Linked DNA regions of Astyanax mexicanus. The protein of the gene in region 1 interacts with the protein of each later gene in a pairwise test. Links are inferred from orthologs where the notes say so. Each region holds a gene or a part of one and is shown in the gene's direction. Other genes may lie near its edges. The genes, in order: cyclin-dependent kinase 2-interacting protein, fas-binding factor 1 homolog, cluap1 and ATR-interacting protein.

Region 1 (7,744 bases):
CCAAGATGCATGAAAACTCTTTTTTTAATTATTTAAGAAGGCATGAAGTCAACTCATTATTAAATTTTCTCTTTTTTCAGGTATACTACAGTACAGTGATGATACGGCTATGATGCGCTGTGTGGCTGATTCACTGCTGACCCGGGTGGGGTTTGATGAGCAGGACATGGCTCGCAGGTATGTTCAGATATGGCGTCAGTTTCAGGACTGTGCTTATGTTTAGTTGTGTTTTTATTTTCATTCTGTTACTCTTAATTCTGTATTTCCAGTTTTGCGAAGGAGTACAGTCTCGCCCCGGGCCGGGGCTATGGGTCAGGGGTCATTCAGGTGTTGCGGAAGCTCGCGTCTCCTCAGCTCAGCGACGTGTTTCAGCCGGCTCGGGCTCAGTTCGGAGGACGTGGATCATTTGGGAATGGTGGAGCAATGAGAGTGGCACCTTTCGCCCTCGCCTTCAGAAGCGCAGCTGAAGTGCGGAAAGTGAGGCCTAATATTATTTAATTATATTGTACACATATTATACACAATGGCTAATATTAGAGCAGCTGAGTGATAAATATATGACTTAAGGCCTATTACAAAGCACTAGGGGTGGGCGATATGGTCCTAAAATAATATCACAATATTTTATGGTATTTTCGCTATACGATTTCGATACTCTTGGCGAAATGAATGAAACACTGAATTAAAAGAATAATTTTAAGAACAGGTTTGAAAGCTATCCGCTCCTGTTGCTATGTGTGGGGTTGTGTGATTGGTTCCTTTGTTTAACTTTATTTATGAATGCTTCGACTTATCATATTATCTCCTTTTCAGTATATTTCCAGGCCTGAATAAGTTTTGGAAAAATAAAAATACCCAGTTTTTTAACTACAAATCTTTGTGTTGCTGTTTTTTTTTATCTATCAACGGAGAGAAGCTATTTTGAGCTAACAAATACATCAGCTCAGAATTAGTTAAGTAATTAAGCCCTGCATGATGGAGCTCTCAGGATTCGACACACATTTTATTATTGAAAATTGTGTATTAACATTGCTTTTAAATTAAATTAACTTTAGGCCTACTGTAATCTATTTTAATTATAGTTTTAGTTAATTTCTGGTTTATTGTCCATGTCTGCACGGATGTTTTAGAAATTGTATGGTCATGAAAATTTGCCTGAAAGGCATGGAAAAGACATGTAAAATCATAGATATTTTTCAGTTAAAAACTGTATGAACCCTGACTGTAGTAAAGCGCAGCTTTGTGGAGTGAGTGTTTGTACTGACAGCATATTAACGGAGCCCGAATTCGGTCCTGGATGCGGAATTGAGCAGAATTGAAAAATATATAAAACGTCATAATGATAGTTATTTAATTGTAGCTGAATTATAATTGTGAAGCTAATGTTTTGTGTGTATGGCAGTACTCCAGGCTCGGTGCGATGCTCACACACTCCTGCTCTTTGGGCTACAACGGCGCCGTGCTGCAGGGTCTCGCTGTCCACCTGTCTCTGCAGGGCGTCCTGTCCCTGCCACAGGAATTCATCAACAGACTCATCTCTGAGATGGAGGTCGTGGAAAAAGAGGATTCGGCCCAGCGTGACGCTAAAGCGTGAGTTATTAACTCTTCATAGAACTGTTTTATTTGTGTTGTGTGGAGAAGGTGATTACAGCAGTAAATAGAAAACATTTATAATACTGAGAAGTATATAGAAATAGTTAATTACATAAGATTTCTGATAAGACTAATAACCAGGGTTTGTACGGGTGTTTGAAATCCTAAAAAATGCTTGAATTTTAACGTTCTGTTTTTCGAGCCTTGAAAGTTCTGCAATATTTATATATATATATTATTTTACAGGCTGAATTTAGCAGAGTTTCCGTACTGCGCACGATTACACCGAGTGAAGGAGCTGATAGAGAGGAGCAGCGTGAGCGTTGAAGAGGTCATATCCGAACTTGGTTAGTATCTTGTTTGCTCACGATGTTATTTCTTTGTTCTTATTTCGTTGTTTGTGTGCTGACTGAGGCCACCATGATATCCTGTTCAAATGTATAGTAATAAAATAAAATAAACAAAAATAAAAAAATAGTTATATTACACTTCTAAACACTTCTATACTCATATACACAAGGTTCTATAGTACAGACAGTTGGAGAGATGTTATTTTCATGAAATTCTGTGTTCTTATTGATACCATTATTTAAAATTAAATCAGATAAATTCACTGAGCATGGCTTTAAATATTTAAGATTAAAATCATGACGCAACATAAATGACAGAACAGCAGTTTTACTGCTTGGATTTTACATTGCATTCTTAAAATCAGGTCTGAAGTAGTTAGGTATAGAATGTACAACTTTTAATTAAACCATTTAAAAGGTAAAATGTTAGAACAGAGCTGTAGAAAAAATAAGAAGCTAAAATACACTTTCTTTTATTTGTACAAGTAGATAGTTTTATCACCAGCACTAACCCACCCAGCACACCTACATTCAGCGTAATATGTCCCCAATGGTTTTATAGGCAACTGTGGTCCCAGCTACCTTGAGATCATTAACAAGTTCCCTCCTTTGCAGTTTTAGGCTGATCTGTTACCTTCCTCATGATGAAGGATGCCCTGTAGGTAGTATTCAGGTACAGTAGGTCACTCAGCCTGTAATTTTCTCAAAGGACGTCTGTGAAGCACATACATGGTCGTTCTGGACGGGAATAAAATCACAGAGGATAAAAAACCCCCAAAAAGAGAAAATCATCCCAGAACCCCCTGAGAAATGCTGTCTTTAATGCATGTAGTGAGTTAATTTGGAGCGTCTAACTGGTCTGTAGGAGCCTGAACTCTTAATGGTTGGTAGGGGATCAAATACAAATACAAATACAAATTGTGTAATAAGTGCAAATAAGTGCATATGATTTATACTGTGTGACTTTTTTTTATTTTTATCTCTTTTCAGTCTTTGTCTTGTGCTAATAAGCTCTCTGTGTGCAGGAAATGGCATTGCAGCACTGCAGTCAGTCCCCACAGCTATCTTCTGCGTTCTGCACTGTCTGGAGCCTCGGGAGGGCCTGCCCGAGCGCTACGGTGGCCTGGAGAGGACAATAGCCTACAGCTTGGCCCTGGGAGGAGACACCGACACCATCGCCTGCATGGCGGGCGCCATTGCCGGGGCACACTACGGCATCGAGGCGGTTCCCCGGAGCTGGCAGATGAGCTGCGAGGGGGTGGAGGAGGCCGATCACCTGGCGAAGCGTTTTTATAAACTGTACCAGTCCCAGTCCTCAGGAGACGCAGTTACCATGAGCGACAGCAACCAGCCCCAATCACACGCCAGCAACCAGCACCCCACACACACCAACTGACCCCCCGTCAGAGATCCGGCACAGAGGGTCTCCCTCTCTCATAAAGCTCAATCATCGTGGATTATGATTATGTCTCTGTTGTTTAAAAAGGTTTACAATAAAAGAATAAAAGCACTTCCAGTGGTAAACTGGCAAACTGCTCAGTAATACTGTCCTTCTTTCAATAATGTAGAAACTACTGCAAATGAACATCATGGCTACGTTCACATTACAATCTGATTTAACACGTTCACACAGCCATGAAAAAATCTGATCGGAGCAGAAAATCTGAGTCACTTCAGCTTCACTTCTAATGTGAACATCGGCCATGTGTATTTTTCTATTAGTAATCTCCATGACTTCCTTTGCAATAGACATGGTTTGTTTTTTTCTTTTTTTGTGTATTCTTTCACTTCACACAGATTAAGACTGTTGAACTGTTCAATATATATTGAACTAAAAAAACACAAATCACTGCACTGCAAATAAACAAATAAATATATTCTATTCTATTCTTCAAGATTTCCAAAAGCCTGAGAGCAGACCTTTTTTGAAGTAGTGAAAATCATACACAAAATATTGTCTTTAGCATTTAACTATTAAGTCTGGTAATAACAGTATCACCAGAATTTCAACCAAAAATCATGATTCTTTGGAAAAAAGTGGTCAAATTTAGTGTTACGGATTTTTTTTACCTCCACATTTGTAGATAGTTGAAATTAATATTAATATTAATATATATATATATAATAAAATAAAAAAAAGGACGAGAGAAATTAAATAAAAATGTAAAAGGGCAAAAGTAAAACCAGTAATAAAACAAAATAAAGGGATGATATGAATAAAAAGGCTAAAAGGTAAAATATAAAATTTGATAAATAAAAAAACAAAAGAAATGAAAAGGGTAAAAGAAAAAACTCAACTAAAACAGTTACAGGCTGTCTGGAGGTGGCTTGAGAGAGAAATTTTAGGGACTAATACAGATATACAGTATATTTTATATTATAATAGTACATTAATATGGGTGTTTTTTATATTATTTATATTAACTGGTAATAATAACACGGTGTAAAGCGGGTCTGTGCTGTAGGGGGCAGTAATGAGTTTAGTGTGTAATGAGGAGGATAGAGAGGAAGAAACAGGTCCGGCATGCAGTGAAAACAGTTTAAACAGGATTAAAAATATAATTTTCTCTTTATTAATGAAACAACCGAGCAAAAATGAACGGTAAGAAAACCTTTAACTACCTTTAACACTGAAATGTGGTTAGTGTAATGTCTGTTGTTGTTTCAGTGTTGAATAATAGCAGGAGTTGTAATAAACTCCTGCTATATAAACACTGTTTTTACTCACTGAAATGTAGAGGTGAGTAACCCAGGTCGAGAAAGTAAAAATCCACCCCGGGGTTTAGTACTCACTGCCTGGGCGGCTCTGCTGCAGCTCAGCTACAAAACCCTGGGGTGGATTTTTACTTTCTGGACCTGGGTAACCCACCTCTACTGAAATGTTATTTTTAAGATGCTGTTTTTTTATTTTTTTTTTTTCAGATGTAATTATTCAGTATTTCAGCAAATTTTGGGAAAGTATATCTAGATATGTTAATTCAATGTTCTAGATTTTCCACAAAGGCTGAATTACTGTTATTATACATAAGTGTGAACACAAGCTTAAAAAACAGATTAAGGTGTGGAAATTAGACCCTAATGCGTGGCCACAACTTATTAAGGCATGAGAATGAGATTCTTATGCGTGGCCATGACTTAATAAGGCATGGGAACGAGATTATAATGTTTTTTTGCGTATGAATGAGATAATTAAGAGATAATTAATTACTAAGGCATGGGAATGTGATCCTAATGTGTGGCCATAACGTATTAACTCTCGGGAATGAGAAACTAATGTGTAGCCACAGCTTATAAAGGCATGTGATTCAAATAATTAAGTTGTGGCCACAACTTATTAAGGCATGAGAACAAGATAATAGAGATAATTAATTACTAAGGCATGGGAATAAAAACATAATGCGTGGGAACAAGATGTGTGGCCACAACTTAATAATTCGTGGGAATTAGATAAATAAGTCATGGCCAGAGAGTAATAAAGCATGCTTATCTGTACATTAATGCCTGTAAAGAAACTGAATATTACATCAAAGTTCCTTTAATCCAATAATAATCTTTAGTAAGAAAATAAAGAAAAAATGTATTATTTTTTCATAAATAAAACATAGTATTCCTGTGGGTTTTAAAGCCTTTTTTTTCATATGACCTGATAGTTAACATATTTTGCCTTATACTGTGTTTTGTAAGCTTGTTTGCAGCATCATCCCTAAATACAGCTGTTTTTTCTTCTATGTAAAAAAACGTGTTTAATCAGAAAAACACTCTGAGGCCACGCCCCCTGGAAGAAAAGGCAATTTAACTGGAAGCGCAAGAAAACTGAAGGACAACGCTGCAGACTGGCACAACCTGATCCTGAAGTGGGAGCGCCTGACTGATGAGGGATCGGCCATCGCAAACAAAATTGTCAACTACAGAATAAGTGAAACGTTGGGTTCTGTTTTTGAACATAAATGTATATAATATTTACAGCAAGAGCACTTCAGTTTCTGAATCAGTTTCTGATTTTGCTATTTATAGGTTTATGTTTGAGTAAAATGAACATTGTTGTTTTATTCTATAAACTACAGACAACATTTCTCCCAAATTACAAATAAAAATATTCTCATTTAGAGTTTTTAATCACAGTTTTTTGTCATGCATCTCTGCATCATGTTCTCCTCCACCAGTCTTACACACTGCTTTTGGATAACTTTATGCTGCTTTACTCCTGGTGCAAAAATTCAAGCAGTTCAGTTTGGTGGTTTGATGGTTTGTGATCATCCATCTTCCTCTTGATTATATTCCAGAGGTTTTTAATTTGGTAAAATCAAAGAAACTCATCATTTTTAGGTGCTCTCTTATTCTTCTACAGAGCTGTATATATAAAGTATGTATTTTTCTGATGTGTCTCTGTTCAGATTTTCTGCTCTTCATGTTATCTGTTGTTTTGGGTACAGGTCTGTGAAGGAACCAGATATAGTGTTGGTAGATGAAGGTTCATCAGAAGCTCCTTCAGAGAGGAGAGCGCACCAGAGCAACCCGGAGCTGGAGGAGGAATGCGTCAATCTACAGAACATTGTAGATAAAATGGTAAGATTCTGTAAATCCTATTAACTTTATTTAACTTTTCAAATATCACTGTGTTCGTCTGCTATATGATATATTTAACTGAAATTACTGATCCCAACAACCAATGATGTATAAAGGAAAATCATTAAAGAAAATTATCAGGGGATTCCCAAACGTTTTCATACCACTGTTTGTGCAATGCAGAAGTAATTATGATGTTTTATGAATGCTCTGTAACATATAGTTGTGTATTCCTATCTCCAAAGGCCCACATTCTGCTGAAGATGGAGAAGATTGTCTCTAATGAGAGAGGAGTGTATAATTTGGAGATGTTTCAGTTTGGAGTGCAAGGAAGACCAGCGCCACTGTTCCAAACCTGGTCTACCCAACAGTTTGGTAAGAATAATACCAACACTGAAATAGGGTTAATCTGGACTCAATAGGCCATCACTTGACCTTCTTTAATTGCTCCAGAGTCCAATCTTTAGGATCTCTAGCAAATTAAAGCCTTTTTACTGGTTATCCTCACTGATTAGTGGTTTTCTTAAAGCTACACAGCTTTTATCCCTTCAGTTCCCTTCACTGCATTGTGTGCATGGAAAAGCTCTTACCTTCACTATTACACAACATAGCCCTGAGTTCTACTGTTGGTGATTGCTGATCACTATCATTCAGGACTTTTTTTTCCGGGCCACATTTCTTCCTCGTAGATGATGGGTCTTTTTTAAGCATCCAGTTTTTAACAATAAAGCATTGGACAGTTATTACCCCAATTTTACTAGTTTCTGCTAAAATCTCTTTAGATGTTTTCTCTGCATTATTGATGCATGATGCCAATAATATTTGACCCTTCTCAAACAGTTTGACATCTTTTCCACGAACACAGGATCGCAGTATATTTCCATATGGTTGTTTAAGAAAAGAGAAGCAGCTCATTGCACCAGTTGGGAGTTATAAGACTTTAAGATAAATCGGCCATGCAGTAATTATTATCCAATAGGAGGCAGGGTTATTAAAATATATCATCACTTAAATATGATGTTTCCTTGATTTTACCAAATTGAATTTTTGCACCAGGAGTAAAGCAGCATAAAGTTATCCAAAAGCAGTGTGTAAGACTGGTGGAGGAGAACATGATGCCAAGATGCATAAAAACATTAAAACTGATTAAAAACCAGGATTATTCCACCAAATATTGATTATTTCTGAACTCTTCAAACTTTATGAATATGAACTTGTTTTCTTTGCATTATTTG
Region 2 (7,784 bases), on another chromosome or scaffold:
ATTGGATTCATTAATTAATAATAGGTAATAGTTCTTGTCATGTTTTTTAATTTGATTTGAAAAATCTTTATATTTTTTGTTCCTTGAAACATTTTGGAGATGCAGCTTTGAATCTGTAGATGCAGACTATAAATCAAAAGCTATTATAATTCATTACATAACATCCAATAATATTACAACCCACAATAATATTTCTTTGATTCCCCAGCCATGCAAAGGCTTCATTGTCAGATTAGCCTTTTTTGCTTTTTGGAAGCCAAGATGCTAATGAGATTTAAGAACATGTGAGAAAGGACAGGTGATTCTGTTGAATAAATGATTTTGTGATTGATTTTTTTGAATGTTGACTTTTTTGAATGAGTGTACAATATTCACAAGGAACTTGATTTACTATTAAATTAATAGAAATATACATTTAATTAAACTTAGATTTATGTTAGTATTAGACAACATTATTTAACAATATGTTAACTTTTTTGAGATATTGTATTTTTTGCACTATAAGGCGCACTTAAAATTCTTTAATATTCCCAAAAATCGTCAGTGCTCATTTTAATTTTGTGCGTTTTACTTTTAAAGAAAGTCTTTTTATCACGGTTTTGTTACTAGGTTAGCTTTACTTAGCTTAGTTAAGTTAGCTACCCCTCACCACCACCCAGCAGCATGGTGAGTGAGACGTAAGGTTTGTTAGTCACACATGAGGTTGTGATCAGTCACAGGCATTAAGTTAAAGGCCTGAAGGATGTGAGGGTCAGCAGTGCTTAAACCAGCTGCTACAGCCTGCAGCCGTTCACTGCAGGATCCCTACATTGTGATAGTAAAGAAAACTCCCATAGCTACATTTCTGAACTTCTTTTACAAATTTCAGCTAATCAGGTCGATATTTCTCTAGGTTTTCTGGGTGATGGGTCATAATGTGCCAAGGCTTTAAGGGGCTGGCACAATTTTAAACTAAAGTGCTATAGGGTACTCCTGCATCCCTGCTTCTTCAGTACCATGTGAAACAGTTTTCCCTTTTATTGGCAAAGTATCTCACTAGTATCAGTAACACTGGGCTAAACTGGGTCAATGCTAAGGATAACCCTGGATATAAAATACAGGACAATAAAGTGACATGTTAAAAAAAATCATACAAAATTAAAGAAGAAAAGGCAAAAGAACTTTAACATAACAGCTCTAAAAAAAAAGCTCTAAAGCTGTGCTCTAAAGTGTCTCAAACTGGGATAAGCAAACTAAACTGCATCTAAGAAACAGAGCACCACACTTCCCTGCACTTAACCACTAAACAAATATGTGTAAACATAAAACTAAAAGCTAAACTATGCTAAGATAACCAATATACAGTACATAGCATGGAAGCGGCTAATTAAAAACCATATGTTTTTCCCAAAAATAGGGATTGATTGAGTCCATGTACTGTGGAAAAATATTGTTTCTAAATGAAAATAAAGTCAATCTTTAGAAAAGCTGCAACAGTTTTAACATAACCATCTTAATCATATTGGATTTATTTTAACATTAAAATCAAATAAACATAACATAACATAAATAGATCTCTACTGGTATTTTAATCTCAGTGTCTTCATGAGGTAGAGTCACCTGGAATAGTTCCTGGTGGTGCTGAACAATATTTGCTGCTTTTCCTTTACGCTGTGAAGCTCCAGCTCATCCCAAATCTCATCTGATCAGGTTTAGATCAGGAGATCGTAGAGGACAAACAATTTTAATGTTACGTAATTCCATATGTGTCCCTAATTGTTTTCATTTAGAATTAATCTACAATGTATAAACAAATTAAATAAAAAAAAAAAAACCTTTGAATTAGAAGGTTTGTACAAAAATTTACCTGGACCTGGAACACAGTCACAAACATACAAAAAAAATAAAGTTTTGCGCATAACAACATTAAATCATTGTCAAACCAGTACACAGTACACAGTTTTGAAAAGGTTTTATAATAAAGTAGTATAGTTATCTAAATTTTTAACTGGAACACTGTCAATTATGATGTAACTTATTTCCCAGCTCTGATATCAGACTTTCGAGTTAAATGGAAAACAGTATGAGCGTTCTCATATCTGCTCATATCTCGCCACTCTCACAACCTGGCATGAAAAGCATTTATAGCTGGAGGGAGGTCCTTTAACCCCTGTGACCCCTGGAGACGTGCAACTGCCACGCATTCCAAGATTCCATCAGGCCTGTCTGTGCAGTTCTAATGCAGATGGCTAGGCTGCTTTGTGTTCGTTTGAGACTGTCCTTAGCCCTTTAAGACATGATGGTTACTGTAAGAATCTTTAGAGTTTTTAAATCATGTCTGGGTGAACATTTTTTGGATTATTTGATGATAATTTTGAGCACATAAACCAACCTCCATAGCAGCGTTCACCAGTATAGTCTATGTTTTCTTCTGAATAAGCAGCTTTTACAACACCATGACCATCAAGACCAGTTTGTACCAATAAAACCAGCTACCAACTGGTTTTGAGCTGGACTGTCAGCAGGTAAACTGGGTACACAGATTTCTAGAAGAATAACAAGTTTTGCCTTTTCTGTTGAGGGCTGAATAAGAATAACTGTGCTGCCGTCGCCCCCTGGTGGTCCCAGCAAACAGTGCCAAATATAAATCAGTAATTTAACAGATTTCAAATTAATGCTAAACATTTAACATTAACTTCAATTAATTGTCTTTCCAATCTGACGTTAATTCCTCATCACTTTTGCACACTCAATTCATATTACATTTACATCATTTATCTGACGCTCTTAACCAGAGACTTACAAGGTTATTCCTATTACAGAGGTGAGCCAATGTAGTGTTACGAGTCTTGCCCAAGGACTCTTACTGGTTGGTGTATTAGGAACTACTGGTGTACCAGGAATTAAACCACAGTCTCCCACATTATGTGATAGCTCATAAGCAGATGGTGGTGTTATGCACTGCAACCACATATTTCAAAACATGTTGATTGTAGTCCTGTAATCCATAATTTTGTTTATATATTTTTCAATTAAAAAAAATGAAATAATATTGACATTTTTAGAAAAATAAATCAACATAAAACAAACTATGTTAGAAATTTTAAACATAAAAAATGTATTACTGCATAAGAAAATTGTAAATCACTCCTGCTTTATGTACAACAGGAATTATTTTATGAAAAACAGAATAACAGAATAGCTAAACAATAAAGAAAATAGAATTTTAAAATGTGACCATTTTACTTTTGGTACTCATTTCATGAAATAAAGTAGGTAACTATAAATGCAAATAAATATATCTGTGTAATTAAATAAACAAATAAATGTTTTTTTAATAAACCCTTATTTATTTTACCATTCACACTTTGACATAAAAGTCTGATAAAATTAGATAATTAAATACATCATAGCATGACTTAATGTTACATCAATGACTTAATCTTACTAGCTACATGTTTAAATACTGAAGACAGGCAAGTGTAACATTTGTCAGTTCAGTTTTCTGACCACTTGAGGCTAAATTTGAAAATAGAAAATTGTGTTTTTGTTTGTTTTTCCAGTTTTTACTGTTTCCATTACTGCCTAAAAATTAAAAAATTGAAGTGAAATTTTCGCATTTATCCTCAAAACGTCAGAAAGCTAAACTGATAAACAATAATAATAATTTACGAATTGATTATAACCCCTGTTGTAGCGGGAAATGACTGTGAACCGCTAGAGGGAGCCCACAAGTTAGCCCTCAATGAGTACTGCAGCTCTGAACATAATTATTGACCACAGAATTTAATAGAGGCGATATTTTAAAAAGCTCATTCACATTCAAGCCATAGAAAAAATTCAGCTTAGACACGAAACCCCAAATATGGGCATACAAGGACTAGAGAATGACATGACTGCAGTGGTGTATGGAGGTGAATGGAGATAATTATTTGAAACTCAAACTAAAAATAGTATACTATCTACTTGCCCAGGGTATATATTCCTTAAAAAACGTACCCGTATGTTTACTTCTTTTTTACAGTATGTTTTAGGCAGTAAAGGAACTGTATTACTGCTACTGTGAGCTGATGGAATTACAGCGAGAGTGCGTTTTAAAGCTTTATAGCTGGCATTTGAAAGCTGTATTTGAATGTCTGATGTTGTTTAGTGATGAGAAAACGAGTAAACTCTTCAGTATAACAATGATTCAAACTGTACAAACTCAAAAGGGCCTATTAGTTGGGTATTCTCAGAGAGAGAGAGAGAGAGAGAGAGAGGAGAATAATCCTCAGATCTATTTAACTGTTACAGTGATGGAGACATAATTTTTAAAGATTTTAAACTTTAGTTATAGGGCTTTTAAATATGCTCTGACTGTATCTCCAGCATCAACTCACCAACCAATCAGTGCCTAAAAATATAGGGGTATGGTTTATTTGCTTCTTTTAGCGAAATAGATTATTCTAATATCTAAAACTAAAGGAATATATTTGACAGGTGATTAAACTGACTCCGAACTACATTACCCACAATTCAACACAGGAAACACATAGCACGTAGCACAAAACACAGGGTTTAAAAGTGTAGTAGAGGACAGCAGTCTGTAATCGGCTGCAGGACCGGCGATTTTGGGATAAAATTAAGCAAGTTCGTAGCTGCTTCCTTTAGCATGACCAGTAACGACTAGGTTCAGTTAACTTGAAACTACCTAACCTAGCCTAGCCTAGCTTAGCCTAGCTGACTAACTGACGCTAGGTAGCGTTAGCTAATGAACTAATGAGCTAACCAGGTGTATTATAGTGGAAGAATAGAGGCGGACAGGGGAGCAGAAGCCTGATATCTTCAGTCATTTTGATTTATGGAGAGAAGAGGTGGCGATAAAGCGGGATAAATAATTATAGAAGAGCGGAAATGTGGGTTTAGCCGGACATGCTGTTGCCAATGGCGACATGGACGCTCAGGCTGCTCTGATTTACTCTCTGCGGGCTGAGCTGAACACTGCAGGGAGGAGATGGTAAGAGTCTCACAGCCTCTGTTTACTGCACAGATTCACTGCATATCCTCCACCGACAGACAGCTAGCAGTGTAACCTGGCCCTCCTGAGCTACCTGAGATCATGATATAGATAGATTATGATTATGGATAGGTCAGGATATAGATAGACTCATATAGAGACAGATATAGGGATACAGTAGCCTGGAAGGACTAAGTTACTGATCTTTGATTAAGAAATAACAATAAATGTCAACATTTTATTATACAAAAATATGTATATAATAGTAAGTATTAGTATGAAGGATAAAGCATCATATTAACTATAAACTTCTCTTTCTTTTAACCACTGCAGAGTTTAAAGCAGCAGAAGAAGAAGGGGCTGAGGGGTAAGTGCTTCAACTGTAGGACCACATACACAACCTGTTACAGCCATCATACTGTGTTCATACTGAGTCCAGACTTCACCTTGCTTTAGGGTCAGTTGATGACGTGTTGGGGGATCTCTTGGGAGACAGTGATGGTAAGATTCCTGTGTGTTATTTGTATAACTTTTGCATAAAATGTAAAAAGAACTTCTGTTTATCCCTGTGATTCCAAATGTAGAAGGGGGAAAATATATTTAGATTTTTTAAAATATAAATCAAGTGTTGTGGTGGTAACAAACATATTGGAAAGACTATTTTGTTTTTAACTAATTTTACTTACATTTTACAATATGTGCACTTCAGTGCACAACAGGACTTCGGTAATCACAAATGTGAACATTGACAAAATTCAAGAGCAGATTATGAAAACTGAAAGCTCGACAGAATTCGTTGTAATGCCCTCAAACAATTCTGCTGATGATTTGGGTTTAATATTAAGAGAAGAATATGAGATAAAAGATCAACATTTTAGCTTTTATTTCCAGGTATTTACATCTGGGTCTGATACACAGTTGACAGAAACATTGTGCATGCTGTAAAGAAAGGGACAAAAACAACTGTTTGTGACAGGAGGGCAGGAGGGAAGCTATAACAGTCTTCATGAACAAAAGTACAGAGGCTTTACCAGATATGAAAACCACTAATTAACAATAAGAATAGGAAAGCCAGGCTGGAATTTGCCAAGAAGTACAGAGAGAAGTCTATGGACTGATTATAGACTGATGACACAAACATTATCCTTTACAAAGGTGATGGAAAGGCTAAATTTTGGAGTAAAAAACTTATTAGTGAAACACAGGGGTGAATATCTCATGGCTTGGGCTTGCATGGCTTCTTCTGGGATTGGGGGGATTAATCTTCATTTGATGTAAAGGGTACTCAGAAGTCTACTTTTTTTTTTTTTGTCAAATTAAAGAAAGATTTAACTAAACGAATTGGGAGATCCTTCATCACGCAGCAAGATAATGACCCAAAACACACTGCCTGCAAGAGCATCACAAAAGAAGAATGCAAATGTTTAGGTAATGTCATTGGGTCACCGTTTTGATGCAGTTATTAGAAAAGTTAGAAGAGTGGCACAAAATTTAATTCCCGGGTCTCAGGTGGATAAGCTAAAATAATAAGAAATAGTACAACAAAACTCCAGAAATACTCAACGCAAAAGTTTGTCCTAAAAGCTGAGAGGTCAGCCTCCTTTAATCACATAGGATATCAATAACATTGTCCAACCTTTCAGCAACTGACAGCTGCATACCTTCTTCCTATCATAATTTGTCAGATTGTCTCAGATTCTTTCTCTTCTCCATTTTCTTGCTTCAACACATCGACAGTCACTGCCTAATATATACCACCATTTTTACAGGTTTGCTACTGAAAGCAGGAAAATGTGTTTTTTTATGTTGTGTTATGTTTCATGTTGTCAGTGTAAATAAATGTTAGTACATTGCAATGTCAGATTCCCTGTGTCAGTGCATCCTTGTAGTGTACATTTGTGCTTAATTTTGTGAAAAACTAAAACCCTTTTCATTTTAATCTGCACTGAACTTCAGTAAAAAAATGTATCTGAAAAAGTGCTTTTTGCCCTCTAGATCCTCCCAAGAAGACCAGATCTCCCGCTGGAGTCCTACCATCACGCAGCAGCAAGAGGTGAAAATATATATTTCTAATTTTAATAAAATAAAGTTATACATACCTTCAAATACACATACTTTCGAAATTATCTATATACTTAAACTGATCTGTCAGGTCTATTATCTGCTGAAAACAGGTCTCTGCTGGATGATGATGATTTCTTCAGTAAATTGGCGGAGGAGGCGGAGAAAGATGATGAGGTGAGAGAGTGGTATTATTTTTTTAAGTGGCTTAAGGAAGGTAATTAAGAGAGATAAATAGTGACTTGTGTTGTTTTGCAGGGTTCTGATGTGTCTGAGGCAGATCCAAAGGCTTTGTTGGAGAGTATGAAGGTGGTCGTCTGTTTACTTTTTAAAGTTATACTTCAGAATTAAATGTGCCTTAAATGTGCTAGCTCTGAAATGATTAACCATAGAATATAATGATATTTTAGTAATTTCCAATTACTTTTAGCAATTTTTCCATGTATTATTATTATTATTATTATCATTATTATTATTATTATTATTTGCATTATCAGTTTAATTGTACATAATTATTTTAACTGCTTAAAGTGTCTGCTTTATCATTGGGAATGCTAGCCTTCACCCATACCCAACATAGCACGGATGACACGTCTGACATGTCTTGACGAGGGGATGGGAAATGGAAATGTCTAAAATACGGAGAAAAGAAGTATTTATAATTGTGTGTGTGTGTGTGTGTGTGTTTTTTTCCCTACAGGACATTGATGATATGGATGCGGATCTGTTTGGCTCAAAGAAAAAGCCC
Region 3 (8,190 bases), on another chromosome or scaffold:
CATTATTTTTGGGTTAGTTCGATTTTATCAGCATAAGTGATGCCAGGTTTCTGTAATATTTAAATTATGTTAACTTAATTTGTTCAGCAGGAAATGCAGTTAGGTTTTACAGTGCAGGGATTCTGCAAAAAGCAACACTACAGCAATTCTTTTAAACAGCAGTCTATTCACTCTCTCACTGACAGGTTTGGGTGTGGTAATCTGCTGGATGAGGGAGACGCGGTCCTGCACAGGTTTGCTCAAGTTCACACTGCGACTTTCTTCTCGAATAGGACTCTCAATGAGCACAGTCTCTTCTACACAGAGAAAAAAAGGGATGAAGAAAAAGAGAAAGAGACAAATTACAGATATTTAACAAGCCTTTTTTGTATCATGTATCTGCATTATTTAAGTCTAGTGCAGCGCAACTGTACATTTGTAACACTCACTTGGAGTTTGGTTGGTAAGGCCTTTCTGTATAGAATCAAATGGCATCTTCACACCATCTGTGGGAAACCTTTGAAAAATATGCAGGATTGTGCAGGATTATTTCCATGTATTTAATAGCACAGTCATATTAAGGAATGTGAAGAACATTCACATGGCATTAAAGTCACATCGAGACCACAGAAAGACAGAAAAACTGAATGCTAAGTTAGTTAATTAGTTGACTATCTTAGCCCTGTACAGCTTGTACCTTAGAAAAACACTACCATGGCTAGATGCAGCTTTTTATGGCTCTAAACATGGATCTTCTGTAGCATCATTTTTTATTTAAATTAATTGAATTAAAGAGTGTTGTATTAAAGAATTATATGTATAGTTTACCTGATGTAGTCGTAGAGCTGATGCCAACTGCTGCCCTTAGGCACAGGGAAACACATCTCTCTGGGCATGGGGGCTGTGCCTTCTGGCAACATCACACCAGCCTGTCGGAACTCTGAGAACGACAGGCCTACAAAGAAAGATCGTAAGAGAGCAAGAGCAAGAGTTACAATGTTAAATTGTGTTTAAAACTACTTTATAAGAAAAGTATTTTAATTAAGAGTACCTGGGTCCAGCAGCAGGTCACTAGTCTTGAGGTTTTTCACCGTCATATTGGAACAGAGTTTGATGCTCTTCAGGTGACTGTGTGTTTTGTTTAGATAGACAGAAAGCACATACCGCAGGTCCATCATCAGACATGTCCAGCGCACAGACGCCGGTGCTGGACCCACCAAACCTGAAGCACACATCAACACCACAGCAGTGTGGACTGTTAAAGCACTGTTAAATATACAAAAACTTATATATGGGCCCAGACGTTCTATCAGTGTAACTTGGTCACGATTAAATGTAATTAAATTATTGAAGAGAAAAAATTTATAAAGTAAGATCCTTTAATTTATTAACTTAATAAAAAACATATATCAATCATGTCTCCAATTATTTTCTTTGCTACTGCAAGTGATTTTATTACGTGTGTTTATGAATTAATTTTAGCACATTTAAAAATAATAATAAACAAAGTAAGAAAAGAACAAATTTCTTCCGAAAGGTAGTGTTTACCATGTTTAGCAGATTTGGCTGTGGTTTCATAGACAGAGCCCGAAGCAGCTCCACACAGGAAGGGAAACTGCAGCCATGTTGCCGTAGACTTAAATTCCTTGAACAGGTTGGAGAACGATACACGGATCACCTGACCTTCCTGAACCAGAGTAAAAAAGAAGTTAAACAGTTAATTCACTGTTTATTCATCTACCTAAACTCACATTAGTCACGGAATATTATAGATCTGGGCGATTATGGTCTAAAAAAAAAAAAAAAAACGTTTTTTTTTTTTTTTCCAATTATAATTTCCCCCTACTAAAAATCAAACTAAAGAAAATGGTTTAAGACCCTGAAGTTTTTAGAAGTGGTAGGATTTAATTCTAGCTAAATATAGGCTTTATTCCACCGGGTGTTTGTGTCAAAAGTGCTGAAACAGTGCTGGAACGATTTACGGTAGGAGCTCAGTCCTTGGCGGAATGTTTAGAAAATATGCGCGGGTTAGTCTGTTGGAGGCGCCAATAACCAAGATAAGATGGATAAACACTTCAGAAATGAGTAGCGTTTTCGGATATTTTAGATGAAAACGATAAAATAATCATGAAAATCACCCAGCACTAGAATATTATAATGCTCTCTGACTACTCCTTTTTACATTACTCTCACCTCAGAAGCAATGTCCACGTGCACTACAAAGTGTTTACTGGGGCTGGGTCTGAACAGCAGGTAGAGGTAACGGCCTGTGAGCCCCAGTGATTGGCTGCTGGTTCTGGGCAGGAGAATATAGTTGCTGGCTGGAATGGAACCGCGAATACGGAACACCGAACACTTCAGAGTCTTGTCCTTTACAACACCAACAAAAAAACAAAAAACAAAAATTAAATTAATCAATAATCAACAATATCAATGTGTTACCCCAGCTGACCACCAATAATGACAGACGAATGTATGATGTATTCTTATTGAATGGAAGTCATGACGTTGAGGTACCAAATTTAATTTGCATCCTAATTTAACGTCTGTACAACAGCTTCATTGTAATTTTCAACTAAAATTCAACGTCTGTCTGATGTTAGATTTCAATTTCTTGCGTTAGACTGATATCCACTGCCTTCAGTTATAGGATGTTACTTCACTGAAAGACATAAACACTTGATATGACAGTAGAATTTTACCATGTAGGTTGTAACATCGCCTTCTTTGCTGGCCTTCCTCCATTCCTCCAATTTTAGGTGCTTAAAGACATTAACATAAGGATGTTGCCATGCTAGAAGGAAAAACAATGTAAACACAGAGGATAAGAAAAAAAGAGATTCAGAGGATATCAATATTCACTTGTTCAAGATTACGTAATCAGGAATAACAGTATATACAGTGTACTTCAATTAATTGTATTTTATATAGAAATTAAACAAAAAGATTATTCAAAAAGTACAGTGAGACTCTGGTCTGTATATAAACCAGGTACCTAACAGGAAATGTTGACATAATGTAAAGAACACATTTTGCATACACATTACGAACATAAATCATTACACAATGTTATTTAATTCCATCCAGCAGGTGTTTCATTAACTAGCCATAGTTACCATCCTACTGTAAACTAGTTAACCTAACTATCTAGCCAGTTATCATTGTGTAACAGTTGAGAAAAAAACTTTGACATCTATCAGTTGAAAAAGATTACCATGTCATTTCTAGGGCTTTGAGACTTCAGTGGATCACAGGGAGAGCTGTTATTCACAAATGGAGAAAACATGGAACAGTGCTAAACCTTCTCAGTAGTGTCTGACCTACACAATTACTTCAAAAGGCCATGGACAACTCATCCAGGAGGCCACAAAAGAACCCAGAACAATATCTACAGAACTGCAGGTCTCACTTGTATAAAGTATAAAGATTTGATTTCAAGTAATTTTAAGCATTTCCATTGATCTATTCATCAGGAAATGTTGACATAATGTAAATATCTGATTTCACATACACATTATGCACGTAAATATTTATACAATTTTTTTTATATTTGTTTCAGTAGCTAGCTAGTTACCATCCTACTATAAACTAGTTAGTTAACTTACCTGGCTGGGTTATCTAGGCAGTTATCATTATGTTCACTGCAAGTTAAATGATGAGGGTTCTGCTGACAGTAGCTAACTTGTATTGACAGTGCAGCATACCCAACCTAGATTAGTTATTTAGAATAAGTGCTAGCTAACTAACAGTGTGTGTAAGTCTTACCTTTTGAGGACATTGTAAACAGACCGAGATTAGCAGATTGTAAATGGGTTGATATCAGCAGGCTAAAAGCACAGACGCTAGCGCTGAGTTAGCTCTAACTTTCACAGTTAGCATATATAAATAAATATATCTATTTGTTTGTTGATGTGCTCCGTTCCAGGCCAGCGTCACATTTTAAACTAAAATCCTTCATGTCTCAGGAAGCTTCATATCCTTCGCAGAAGTTTGTTTGTGTTGTTAAAGTGGTTAAAGTGCTCTCTCTCTCTCTGCGCTCCGGCTGCTCATGTTTTGTTGTCAGACTCAGGTCTCCTCCCGCTGCAGCAGCCGCCGCTTTCAAACGGCACTACGCAGCGTACCCGCAAGGCATACTGGGTAATGTAGTTAATACACTGATGTACACTCACCATTTACATTATAGTTTCAGTGACATGTTTAACCTTCACACTGTTTTATTTTCAAGAGCTTTTTTATTTTATTTTTATTATCTATTTTTAGTACAACACTAGTACAAATGTACAGCTATTTGTGACTATATTACTGCGACATAATTACAGAAACATTGGATTGGAGGGAAGAAGGCATAGCAAAATACAAACAATAAAAAGTAAAAATTACATACAAATTCCAAAAATAGAGCACAGGTTCCATATTTTAACAGATTACTGTTTACAACCAGAAAAGGGCATCAAATAGCATTCCACATCTTTGATAAAAACAAACACAGTATATGCGTCAATATATATTGCCAAAAAATGTAACCAAAACACAGTTTGGGTGCATACTTCTTTTTTGCGGTTGTGGTTATTGTTGTTATCATCTTTCTGTATTATGTTACAAAATAGAGACATCAAAAACAACAGAAACAAAATAATAAACCCTCTTTATTCCCACTCCCCTTTCTAGCACATACAGTCCAAACCCATAAACACACCCACATACACCTGCGTATAAATGTGTACATACACATAATATTGAATGAATAAATAAAAGTGTGCAAACATTTTTGAATGCAAAAGCTTCTTCCTGCTGAATTTTGATGATCAAATTAGTTTACTATATAATTTTAAGAAAACATAAAATATATTTAAATAAAATAAAAATAAAACAATATTACGAAGCATGGGCATTTTAACATTTAAGTAGTCTATAGTTAGTGAAACATTTGATTAATAGCTTAAAAATATCAAAAAGTTCCCTTTCCTCACAGGCAGAAACTTCCCTTGATTTGGTAGTTAAAGTGTGAGTAACTTAAAAAAACAAATGTATATATATATATATATATATATATATATATATATATATATATATATATATATATATATATATATATTGACAGATTATATTTTTCATTGTTAAATCGTGTTTTTACCATTGCATCCCATGAAATCTCCGTAATCCGTTCTACTAAAATGAGAATTTCTGCTTTGCGGTAAATGATTTCCAGTCAGTTTGTCCTCTTGCGCTTGCCGTAGCTCACTGTCGCTGCCATAGAGACGGCCTGGGCCGCAGACGCTGGGTATGTGTGTTTATTATCAGATATAAATTTGCTTTTTAAACATTACTTACAGGATTAACTACTAAAAAAAGAGCTAAATATATATCCTATGTTGGCTGTGTTTTGATACAATGAGTAAATACGAGCAGAAGTCTAATGCTGCTAATATCTGCACTTACGAGCAAACTGTGGCCCAGGTAATCTGATAACCGTTAGTGAAGCTAACAGGTAACCAACCTAACCTTACCTAATCGAACCTAGCTAGCTAAGCTAACGTTTTAATTCAGTTTAGACTCTGAGTATTAAGAAATATATACACTAAAGACAATGACTGTGAGAGTTGGGTTAAGTTACTAGAGAGTAAGGGTTAGCTAGTTAGCAAATAACAGACCAAGTTTCAGTAAGGTTATCGCTGTTTTATAGCTGTAGCCCACATCTAGCTATTAACGTTACATCTAGGCTGGATAGCTTGGGGACACTAGTAGTTAACACGCCTAAGCTTGCTGCCTCTTCACAGTGCCACACTAAATATCCTTTATGAATAATGAGAACAGTAACCTAGGTTATTTAATATCATAAATGTTCCCCCTAGGCCTGTCACCATATTAAAATTGTGCTTAATTATATTTATTAATATATTTATCGTATGCTGGAAAAAGACCACAACGGGCCGACTAAGTTACTTTAAAATTATATAACGTTAGTTGATTTAAGCATTTTTTGATGATGATGATTATTATTATTATTATTATTTAGTCATTTTCAAGTTTCAATTGATCTATTGTTCTATTTAAACTGCTTATTTAAAAAGAGGGTTTAAAGCTGTGAACAGTCTGTGGACCAGTTAGACAAATACATGTAAAAAAAAAAAAAGAAAAAAAAAGTAAAATCAAAATGTGTAGTGTGTAGTCAGGGTGTGTAGTCTAGTCTCTCTGTAAGTTATAAATATGTATATGGGCATTGGCACATATATAGATTTCGGACGTTTACATTGACCCAGAGTTCCAATTCAAAAAATATGAAATTGAGATGTTAGAAAGGGATTTATTTCTTAAAGGAAATGTATATAGTTTATTGTGTATGAAACCTAAATCTCAGAAATAAAAAGGTGTACCATTACAGGTGTACTATTTAGATAATTAAGTATTTTGTTTTTATTTATTTACGTTTTGGAATATACTAAAAAAATATAGCTAATGTATTTTCTTTTAGAACAACAAAGTAGTGGTTATTCTGTGTAATTTGCTCTAATGTATATAAGTTGGCTGTAAGAAACATTTTTAAGTGCAAAATCATTTTCTATGTGAGCTGGTATTTCAGATGTACTAGGATTAGGATGGATTAGTTGTAGACTATATATTCCTTTTGATGTAAAATCTACAAAATCAAAATTTTATGTAGTCCTAGATTAGGTATAAATCCTGTTTGGGAAACTGCCCTTTTTACACTTCATTTTATTCCAAGACTGGATATACTTTCTTAGTGGCTCAAATTGTTACTAAATTTGTTGTTGTCTTTTTCCATAGGGGACTGAGGAAAGCCTTCAATTATTGGTAGAGAGATATTTGGAAAAGGAGAAAAGGCAACCATGTCTTTCAGAGATCTAAGAAGTAAGCATGATCAAATATATCAAATTATTGCTATAAAAACCAACAAAGTAAAAACCTGTTTAAAATGAAAATTAAAAATGGCATTCAACAGGCACAATGCAAAATGAGTGGCACATAGCAAACCTTGTGTCAAAATGTCCTCAATTGCTGAGTGACCTTCTCCCCCCAAAATATTTAAATCTTTGCTACAGGTCCAAAAATAGTGAACAAATGTGCCCCTCTGTGTCTGGCAAGTGAAACATAGATCTGATCTCTCTGTATCTATCCTGTGTAGTCATACTGGTAATAAGTAGATTCTGTGCATGAACTTCATTTTAGGTTGCACAGGCTTAAAATTAAGTTCATGCAAATAAATTGAAGTACACTGGGGATAAAGGTTTACACAAGCAGAATCCCATAAGTTTTGCTCCGATTCCATTTCCAAATCTTTCTGTCAAATACCCTTCAAGTTTAGCAAAGAAGACAGAGATTCGTTTGACAACATAATGTATTCCCTGTCAGATTCATTCACAACCCCCATTATATAGTAGAGATGTAAGGAAATGTCTAATTTAAAGATATCTGGAAAAACTATACCTCTTTAGAATATTCCAAAAATGCAACAAGACCCCAGAAAACAGAACAGAAATCTGTGTGATTCCTTGACTAAACCAGTTAAGGAATCCTGTCTCATGCAACTGAGAGGGACATTTTGGATTAAGTGCAAATGGGGAAGACCAAAAGAAACGGTTAGGTATTTCCAAATCAGCAGAGTGTTGGATATACCAAAAGAATCATAGACCCTTTTCAACTTTTCACATTATGAATAAATGGTAAAAGAGGGAGTGAATGTTATGGACTTCATTTTAACCTGTAATGAGTCAGTCCTATTGGTACACTTGCTTATAATGTGTTAAACCTGAGTTGACCAATAATATAATCGCATGTTTGGTAGCAAGAAAAAGACAAGAAAAAATATTAATTCTCGAAATATTTATCCTGCCAAGCAAACATAATAGGAGAGAGAGCACCAGATACCCAGATCAAGGGGGGATAGTTTTTAGGTGTTTACAGCAATTACCAAATAGTTAAATTCAAAGCCTTTTCCTAAAATTGTATCTATCTATCTAAAATATTGGCATCTGAGCATGTGCAAATGTGTAGTCTGTGTGAGTGTATTTTCTTATCGTTAAACCCAGTTTTTTGGTAAACCTAAAGAAAGTCATGTGCATTCTATTGATGATTTCTTGGATCTGATGAACTAATAAAGCTTTATGTATGCATTGTTGTGAGCACTTGTTTGCTAGTTTGTGTGTTATTGTTTGTTGCTGCAGGTTTTACAGAAATGATGCGTGCCTTGGG
Region 4 (7,296 bases), on another chromosome or scaffold:
AAAAAAAAAAATAGAAAAATAAACATGACCCAGGTAGCTCAGTATAGAGTTAACTGGAGACAGTCATCATGTTGAAGGACTTAGACGGGCTTGATCGACCGATCCTCAGTTTATCTTTGCAGGTGTCCACCGGGCTGGGGTCTGTCTGTGATGGGGGCGCGGACTCGTACAGGACACAAATGGACCCGTCCTCTCCTATCCGGTAAGACACTTCGTACGGGTCGACCCACATGGTCAGCTCACTCGGTAACAGAGAGAACAGCTGCTCTCTGGTCAGTCCGATAGTGAGGGCGGCTTTACCAATCAAAGGGTCCATCTTGTGATTGATCCTGATGCACCTGTAGCCTGAACCTCGGCACGGAGCATCTGGAAACCAGTGGTGCTGATAATGCTCTGAAATTAAGAAAGATTGTATAGTTAATTTCTGTTCACCATTCTTTTTGTACATTGTTGCAATATTGCAACACTGTCAGATCGTAGGATTGTGGTAGTGGAGTTCAGGACTGTAAATTGCTAAGAAGTTTCCAATAAAATAAAGTGTATATACACACTTTTATTCATAAAAAACATTTATGTTTTGCTCTTTTATGAGTAACATTACACATAGAATAGAATTAAATTTAATTTAAAAGAAAAAGCTTATTGTCCACAATGTGAAAAAAAAAACATTTACACGAAAATCTTCAATAGAAACAAACAAGAATTTGGACAAATGTTTTCATTTTTAGATAATACTGAAATCAATATGGTTAACATAAGATCAAAACTTATGAAAATATATATTAGAGCTTCTGGCAGAATTGGAGTTGCATTTGGTAGGGCTAACTAGTTAAGCTATGAACAGTACCCATTTAAATTTCTAATGCACAAAGCTTCTGTTATTCTTAATTTTTTTAATACAATCAAATTTGAGTTTCCTTGTGTTCTCCTAAGAACAGCATCCTTTCTGAGTAAACAGCTAAATTCAATTTAAAAGATTAAATAAACCTCAATTTTAAAAACTTTTTAGCCTTATTTCAAAGTGTATTTAAAACAAAGCTCAGACAACCTATAAGGCAAAGGAAATATTTTTCTTAATAAATATGCACATTAATGGGTTTAAATGTAGCCATTTTCTTCTGTTCATTACACTTATTTTGAGAGAGGTGTATTTTTTTATTAATCAAATGTTCAATAATAGTAGTCATGTGTACCTTCTTTTCATTTTATGTTACTTTTTGATGCCAGTCTTTATCTTCACATGAAATCTAAAGCAAAACTCAGTCCTTTTCCGTCAATTTATTTTTTATTTTACACAATGAGATTTGACATTACTTGTGTTTTATTGATACTCAGTGATTTTTTAAAAGACTGGATGTAATTTAGCTTTATTTCAAAACATATTTTAAAACAAGCTCAGACAACACACAGACCAGAGGAAATGATATGCTTAAAATATATATACGTCTATGTAAGGGGTCTGTAGTTCTTTTGTTGTTTTCATTACGCTTATTTCGAGACAGGTGCATTAATTATTTGGAATTTTGTTTACAAAATGACTAATCAAATGTACAATCATTACTAACCTTGTCATATTATGATGCAAGTAATTGTCTTTACATGATGCCTAAAGTAAAGCATTGTTTTGTTTCATTGTTTAGTACTAAAACTCGGGATATTCATTTATAGACAAGTGTATGTTTTTCATTATCTTACGTTATGATGTTCTTTTTACCAAACAGGCTGGATTTAATTTGATATCTTATGTAAAATTCACTTTTCAGACACTTTTTTTGGAGTTAATGTGTTTTATTTGAGCCCAAGTAAGAAAGCTTAGAGACGGTATAGACCAGTAGATATTGACAAATGAAACATATTCATTTATAGACAAAAAGAACTGCTTAGGGAGACTATAAAGATTATTAGCAGTGTTTTAACTGTAAATACTGTGTGTTTTACCTCCTAAAGCTTCCTCTAGAGACAGGCTGAAGTGGTGCAGCTGCTCCTCTGAGAGAAGCCCAGTCCCTCTCAGCAGTGTGCTAATGAAGTTCACAGCCGTGGAAACCTCGGTTTTCATGGTGAAATATTATTTCTCAAACTGTAAAACGATAAGAACAGGGGTTAGGTGTGAATAAGAGAGTTATTAGAGCAGGTATCAGGGCTAAGAGAGGGAAAGCTGGGTTCAGGGATCAGGCCTGCAGTACTGCTGTTGCTGCTGCTGGCAGATTTTCCTTTGTTCAAAACACGAAGAGAAAACGGCGCTAAAACAGCACTTACAGATTCCCGCTCATCCAGCTGCGCTGTAGAGAAGCTCCTGCTTTTCCCGGTGTAACCCTTTGACCGCTAAAACCACGGAAAAGTGCAAATTATCGACTTTTTATCGATCTAAAACTTCTCCCCGTCCCTCCACAGACCAACTGCCACACTGCTGGAGCTGCTCAGCTGGTAAACACCGCGAGCGCTACAGCAGCGCCTCCACCAATCAGCTGCCGCCGAAGCCAACCGCGTCACAAACACGGTGTATTTACACACAGCTCTCTCATTCATTGACTATTACCTGCATAATAATAATAATAATAATAATAATAATAATAATAATAATAATAATAATAATAATAATAATAATAATAATAATAATAATAATGAACAACGCAGGACAAACCAAAATGTATTATGTATTTCTTAACACGTTATATAAGCTCATTTCTTTTTAAAAAAGTGATTTATTCTCAGTTATGTGTAATTTCTGTATGAGGTGTTTCATTAAATCACTAAATGATGACATTGTTGTGATTGTTCCCCATTATTTTCCCTAGTATTATCAAGGCCAAACACTGATAATTTATAAATAAAACAAATGGCCAAAATCAAAACTGCTGTAAAAAAAAAAAATAGACTGTAAAAATATGTATATGTGCACATCTGTCTCATCTGTCTATTTAGGTAAATGGGCATCCATTAACATTAAAACATTAAAAATTAAAGACCAGTGACAGCTTTGAACAGTTTGTTTTTAACAGTTTTGTTAATTTTGCTTAACTATATTGCCCCTGATGAAGCCCCTAATATGTTGTATTGTGTATCATCTCATAAAAATAGTGAATATATAGAGAATTTTTTACTGAATTGTATTAATTGTCCCCTCAACTAAACAAAACGAACTAGTTTTTTTTAGAGCCATTAAAACCCATTGCATTAAGCTCTTTATGTGCTACTCTTCTCTAGCTAATCTGAAGACCACATGGAGTTTGGCGGTCTATAGTGGCTGATTCTGCAGAAAATCTGCTGGCCCTGTTCTGTTATTTTATGTTGACAGAGTGAGCTGCTGTTTCCAGTCGCTTCCACTTTATTATAACACTGACAGTTGACTGTGGAATATTTAGTCGTGAGGAAATTTTATGACTGCGCTTGTTGCAGAGGTGACATCATATGGATGCCTAAAATGCCTATGGATGCTTGGTGTATACACCTGCGGCCATGGAAATGATTGAAACATGAGTTCATTGATTTGCATGGGTGAGTGAATTGACAACAAGGTTGTGGGTTTGATACCTGTGTTTTGCAGGCCACTACTGTTGGGCCCTTGAGGAAAGTCCTTAACCCTCATTGTTTCCAAGGTGCCGCAGCAATGACTGCCCACGTGTGTTGTCACAAAACTACTATGCATGTTTCTGAGTTTCTCTGTGGTCAGTGTACCATTTCTAAGTTAAAATGTTCGGGCTAAATCAGAAAACAGATAATTGGGTGTAAAACTTCATTATTTCTTTAAGTGTAGAAGAAATGGGTTTTGTCCATTTCCCAATTTTCTTTAATTTGTTTCTTCTTCTTGTGCACCTGCAGAATCAGATGTATGTATCTGTAATCAGGTAAAATGTATATTTTCTTTATTTTCTTGCAACAAAAGTAATTTGAGTTATATCATTACATTTGATACAAGATGTAAAAATGGAAAAATCTTAAAATTGAGAAAATATCAAATTCTCCTAAAAAATTTGTAAAATTGTTTCCGAAACACAAAAAATGCTTGAAAATTAAATAATAGATACATATTTTTCTTTACTATTTTAAATAGAAAAAAATAAAAAATATATTTGAGATTTACACACACATTTCGAGTATTTAACTTCAAATGGTCAGAAAATTAAACTGATAATAAATGTTATACTGACCCTCCGTGCACTGACCAATTAGATTAGCCGATTTTCCTGCATCATTGCTGGAGACTGCGGAATTGACCAATCAACAGCGTCCATGCTTGACTGCGCTCGAAACAAGCGGCGCCTTCTCCCTCAGAGATATTCATCCGCTGAAGTTCAGCTAGTTTTTCTGAACCTGCTGCTTTAGAGAGCTTTCAGCCGTTGTCCAGTATGGCCGGTCCGAACCCGGCTTTCTGTTATAAACTACATCTGCAGATGTGAACCCAGACTCGCGCAGTAAAATGCTGGTTTTACTAGAGCTGGAGTTAGCCGCTGCTGTACTCTCACTGTTAGCTACAGGCTAACCCGCTCCGAATTAACCTGCGCCTCTGTCTCAGTAAGTAACTAATACACATTACACTGAACTTATCTAACAGCTTTATTATACAGTATTTTATCTCCTCTTACTCCTGTTAAACTTGGCGACTCTCCGCGCTGCTTTCTGTCTGTGAGCTTAGCTAGGTCAGTTAGCGTTAGCTAGCATAGCATGTGTTATGAGTCCCACAAAAAGACAATAGTATCAATTTATTCTCCTTTCCTTAACTGGAGATATTAGAGATATTAGAGAGAGGTTAACATATTTAATAAGGTTTGGTAGTTAACCATTATAAAATCACCTTTGACCCTTTTTTATCTGAAATTTGTTGAAACTTCTCAGTCCACCTTAAAAAGTGCAGCAGTTTTATTTAGGCACATGTATTTTTTTAAGGTGGAATGGACAGTTGGACTGTGAATAGGACTGAATATAGCTTAACCAATGCAAGTAAATGTTTGATGGGCTTATGCATTTACTTTTACAGTTTTTATGTGCCATTATTGTAAATAAGAACTATACGTTTTTAATGACACGCCAGGTGAAATTAAAGGTTTAATAAAAAAAAAACAAAAAAACAAGAAATCACTTACATATTTGTTTAAACTAACATCTAGGCAGTTGAAACAAATTAAATAACTAATTAAATAACTAGTAATGTCAAAATACTTCAAATACTTTGAACACAGTGAAGTCTTATTCATATTTTGCATACTGTGATGCAGTTAAGCAGGACAAATTTACTGTAGTACTGACAATATCTACATTAAATAAAAAAAAGTGTATTGTGATGTAATGCCTCACAATAACAATATACACTGCTCAAAAATAAAGGAAACACTAAGATAACACATCCTAGATCTCAATTAATGAAATATTTCAGTTGAAAATCTTTTCATCATATGGATCTCATCCCTGTACCTAATGGCAGTCTGGGTACCTCTGGCTAGCTGTGCGGCCTTCCAAAAAAATTCCTCCCCACGCCATTACTGACCCACTGCCAAACCAGTCATGCTGGAGGATGATGCAGCAGCAGAACATTCTCCATGGCATCTCAAGAGCCAATAACAAATCTGTTAATCTTGGCGTTTTCTGGCAAATGCCAGTCACCCCGCATATTCTGGTATCTGCTCCATGCTCTGGACACTGTGCTGACAGACACAGCAAACCTTCTTTTAACAGCTCGCGTTGTTGTGCCATCCTACATGAGCTGCACTACCTGAGCAAACTACTTCCTCTAGGGTGAGCGCACTAACAAAAATGCAAAAATGACCAAAACATCACCCAGAAAGCATGAGAACAGAGAAAAGGTGTGTAGTTGCCACCTTCAGAACCACTACTTTATAGAGGTTGTCTTACTAATTGCTTCTTATTTCTACCTGTTGTCTGTTATATTTGCACAACAGCAAGTGAATTTGATTGTTTTCTCAATGGTTGATTTTAAGTTAGACTGTTCTGTTTTACTGTTTCCTTTATTTTTGGAGCAGCGTCTATATTGCCACATATTAGCTGTTTGCTTGATATTTGCAAAATCTTTTTGGATATTTGACAGACCTCTATTGCTTTAAAATGTACTACATTCAACATGTTCTTTCAATTTCCACAGAAGCTTCCAATGACATGGAGTATCCTCCAAGCAAACGCCTCAGAGGCCCACAGAACACAGCTCCAGTGGAGCAGGACCCCTTTGGGGATGATGAGGACTTTACACAGGATAACCTGGAAGAGATTGATATTATAGCATCGCAGGCTATTACAGGAGATGGTCACCTTACAAGTACGAAAAGGACATTTGCATCCATTTCATCACATCCAGCAGAGCAGAGCAAAGCCCCCGTAAAGCAGGGCAGAAAGACTTTTGCCATCGGGAGCAGCAGCAGCTCAAGCACCAGCAGCATGTATAACAATATGGAGCGCCAGCGCCATGATTCATTCGGTTAGTATAAAAAACACAGAAATCCAGTATGCACATACTGTATTCACCATATCTCCAAATGTTAGACACCTGGTTACCCAGTGTTTCTACTGAAATCAAGAGAAATAAAAGGTAGATTGTCCCCCTTTGCTGCATCAACAGACTCTGCTTTGCTAGGAAAGAAGTACATTTCTGTGAGAAATGTATTGCATTTACCATCACAAGAATATCAGTAAACCATATCTATTACTTTGGAAAATGCTGGATCACAGCCCAGGGGTGTGTGCATGTGTGTGTGGAAGGGTTTTACAGTGTTAGGAAAAAGTTTGGTAAGCATTTTAAAGATTTTGGACTGACATCACTGTGGGCAAGCCCACAAAGCACCTGAGCACACTTTTTTAAAATTAATTACTTATTCATTTCTTAATTTTTTTATGTGTATGTGTAGAAATAATACAACTTTATAAAAACACTTATGCGACTGTAGAACCTATATCATTACTTATTGTGAACAATTTAAATAGATAAATAAAATAAAATGAAATAAAACATATAACAGAAGGCTTTTTATTTTTATTTCCACTTTTATTTGATTGGCAAATATTTCACATAATGTAACAAATGTAGTATTTTCTCAGCAATGAACAGAAGTTTAAACATCCACATTTAACAGGATGACCATCTATTTGCTGACTGTTTGCAGCAGCTGTAATTGGCTAGGCAGTGTTAGGGGAGTTGAAAATGAGAATGTGATTGGCTCAGTTTTTCAGTATTCAGCATCCTATTAAACGGGATCAGCTGTTTAATTTACAAAATTACTGCTCATTTTCTAAGATAACAAATGTGCAAAATTAATGTCAGCCGAAATTATGATGATGTAATTGTCATAATAG

The links.
Region 2: the proteins of cyclin-dependent kinase 2-interacting protein (region 1) and fas-binding factor 1 homolog interact in binary tests that used the Homo sapiens proteins (3 or more experiments, as listed by UniProt). The two-hybrid records come from large-scale screens. The link is inferred for Astyanax mexicanus from reciprocal best matches to the Homo sapiens genes CINP and FBF1.
Region 3: the proteins of cyclin-dependent kinase 2-interacting protein (region 1) and cluap1 interact in binary tests that used the Homo sapiens proteins (3 or more experiments, as listed by UniProt). The two-hybrid records come from large-scale screens. The link is inferred for Astyanax mexicanus from reciprocal best matches to the Homo sapiens genes CINP and CLUAP1.
Region 4: the proteins of cyclin-dependent kinase 2-interacting protein (region 1) and ATR-interacting protein interact in binary tests that used the Homo sapiens proteins (3 or more experiments, as listed by UniProt). The link is inferred for Astyanax mexicanus from reciprocal best matches to the Homo sapiens genes CINP and ATRIP.

The regions. Positions count from the first base shown.
Region 1 is NC_064421.1:48,598,947-48,606,690, reverse strand, and holds the start of cyclin-dependent kinase 2-interacting protein, read left to right. Parts: upstream 1-4,411; 5' UTR 4,412-4,538; coding exon 4,539-4,545; intron 4,546-5,694; coding exon 5,695-5,866; intron 5,867-6,376; coding exon 6,377-6,509; intron 6,510-6,754; coding exon 6,755-6,884; intron 6,885-7,744. Other genes in the region: adprs (ADP-ribosylhydrolase ARH3), read left to right, coding at 81-177, 270-477, 1,403-1,590, 1,840-1,940, 2,969-3,339. UniProt on the Homo sapiens protein: Component of the DNA replication complex, which interacts with two kinases, CDK2 and CDC7, thereby providing a functional and physical link between CDK2 and CDC7 during firing of the origins of replication.
Region 2 is NC_064410.1:17,740,859-17,748,642, forward strand, and holds the start of fas-binding factor 1 homolog, read left to right. Parts: upstream 1-4,495; 5' UTR 4,496-4,972; coding exon 4,973-4,975; intron 4,976-5,308; coding exon 5,309-5,342; intron 5,343-5,431; coding exon 5,432-5,476; intron 5,477-6,970; coding exon 6,971-7,028; intron 7,029-7,149; coding exon 7,150-7,213; intron 7,214-7,294; coding exon 7,295-7,345; intron 7,346-7,736; coding exon 7,737-7,784. UniProt on the Homo sapiens protein: Keratin-binding protein required for epithelial cell polarization. Involved in apical junction complex (AJC) assembly via its interaction with PARD3. Required for ciliogenesis.
Region 3 is NC_064413.1:14,771,936-14,780,125, reverse strand, and holds the start of cluap1 (clusterin-associated protein 1 homolog), read left to right. Parts: upstream 1-5,179; 5' UTR 5,180-5,260; intron 5,261-5,318; exon of another isoform or gene 5,319-5,467; intron 5,468-6,765; 5' UTR 6,766-6,827; coding exon 6,828-6,849; intron 6,850-8,162; coding exon 8,163-8,190. Other genes in the region: wdr90 (WD repeat-containing protein 90), read right to left, coding at 184-296, 429-496, 808-934, 1,031-1,201, 1,528-1,666, 2,173-2,349, 2,682-2,773, 3,745-3,757. UniProt on the Homo sapiens protein: Required for cilia biogenesis. Appears to function within the multiple intraflagellar transport complex B (IFT-B). Key regulator of hedgehog signaling.
Region 4 is NC_064431.1:12,683,552-12,690,847, forward strand, and holds the start of ATR-interacting protein, read left to right. Parts: upstream 1-4,224; 5' UTR 4,225-4,512; intron 4,513-5,439; exon of another isoform or gene 5,440-5,730; intron 5,731-6,094; 5' UTR 6,095-6,108; coding exon 6,109-6,424; intron 6,425-7,296. Other genes in the region: si:dkey-42i9.4 (protein BTG1), read right to left, coding at 50-393, 1,939-2,056. UniProt on the Homo sapiens protein: Required for checkpoint signaling after DNA damage. Required for ATR expression, possibly by stabilizing the protein.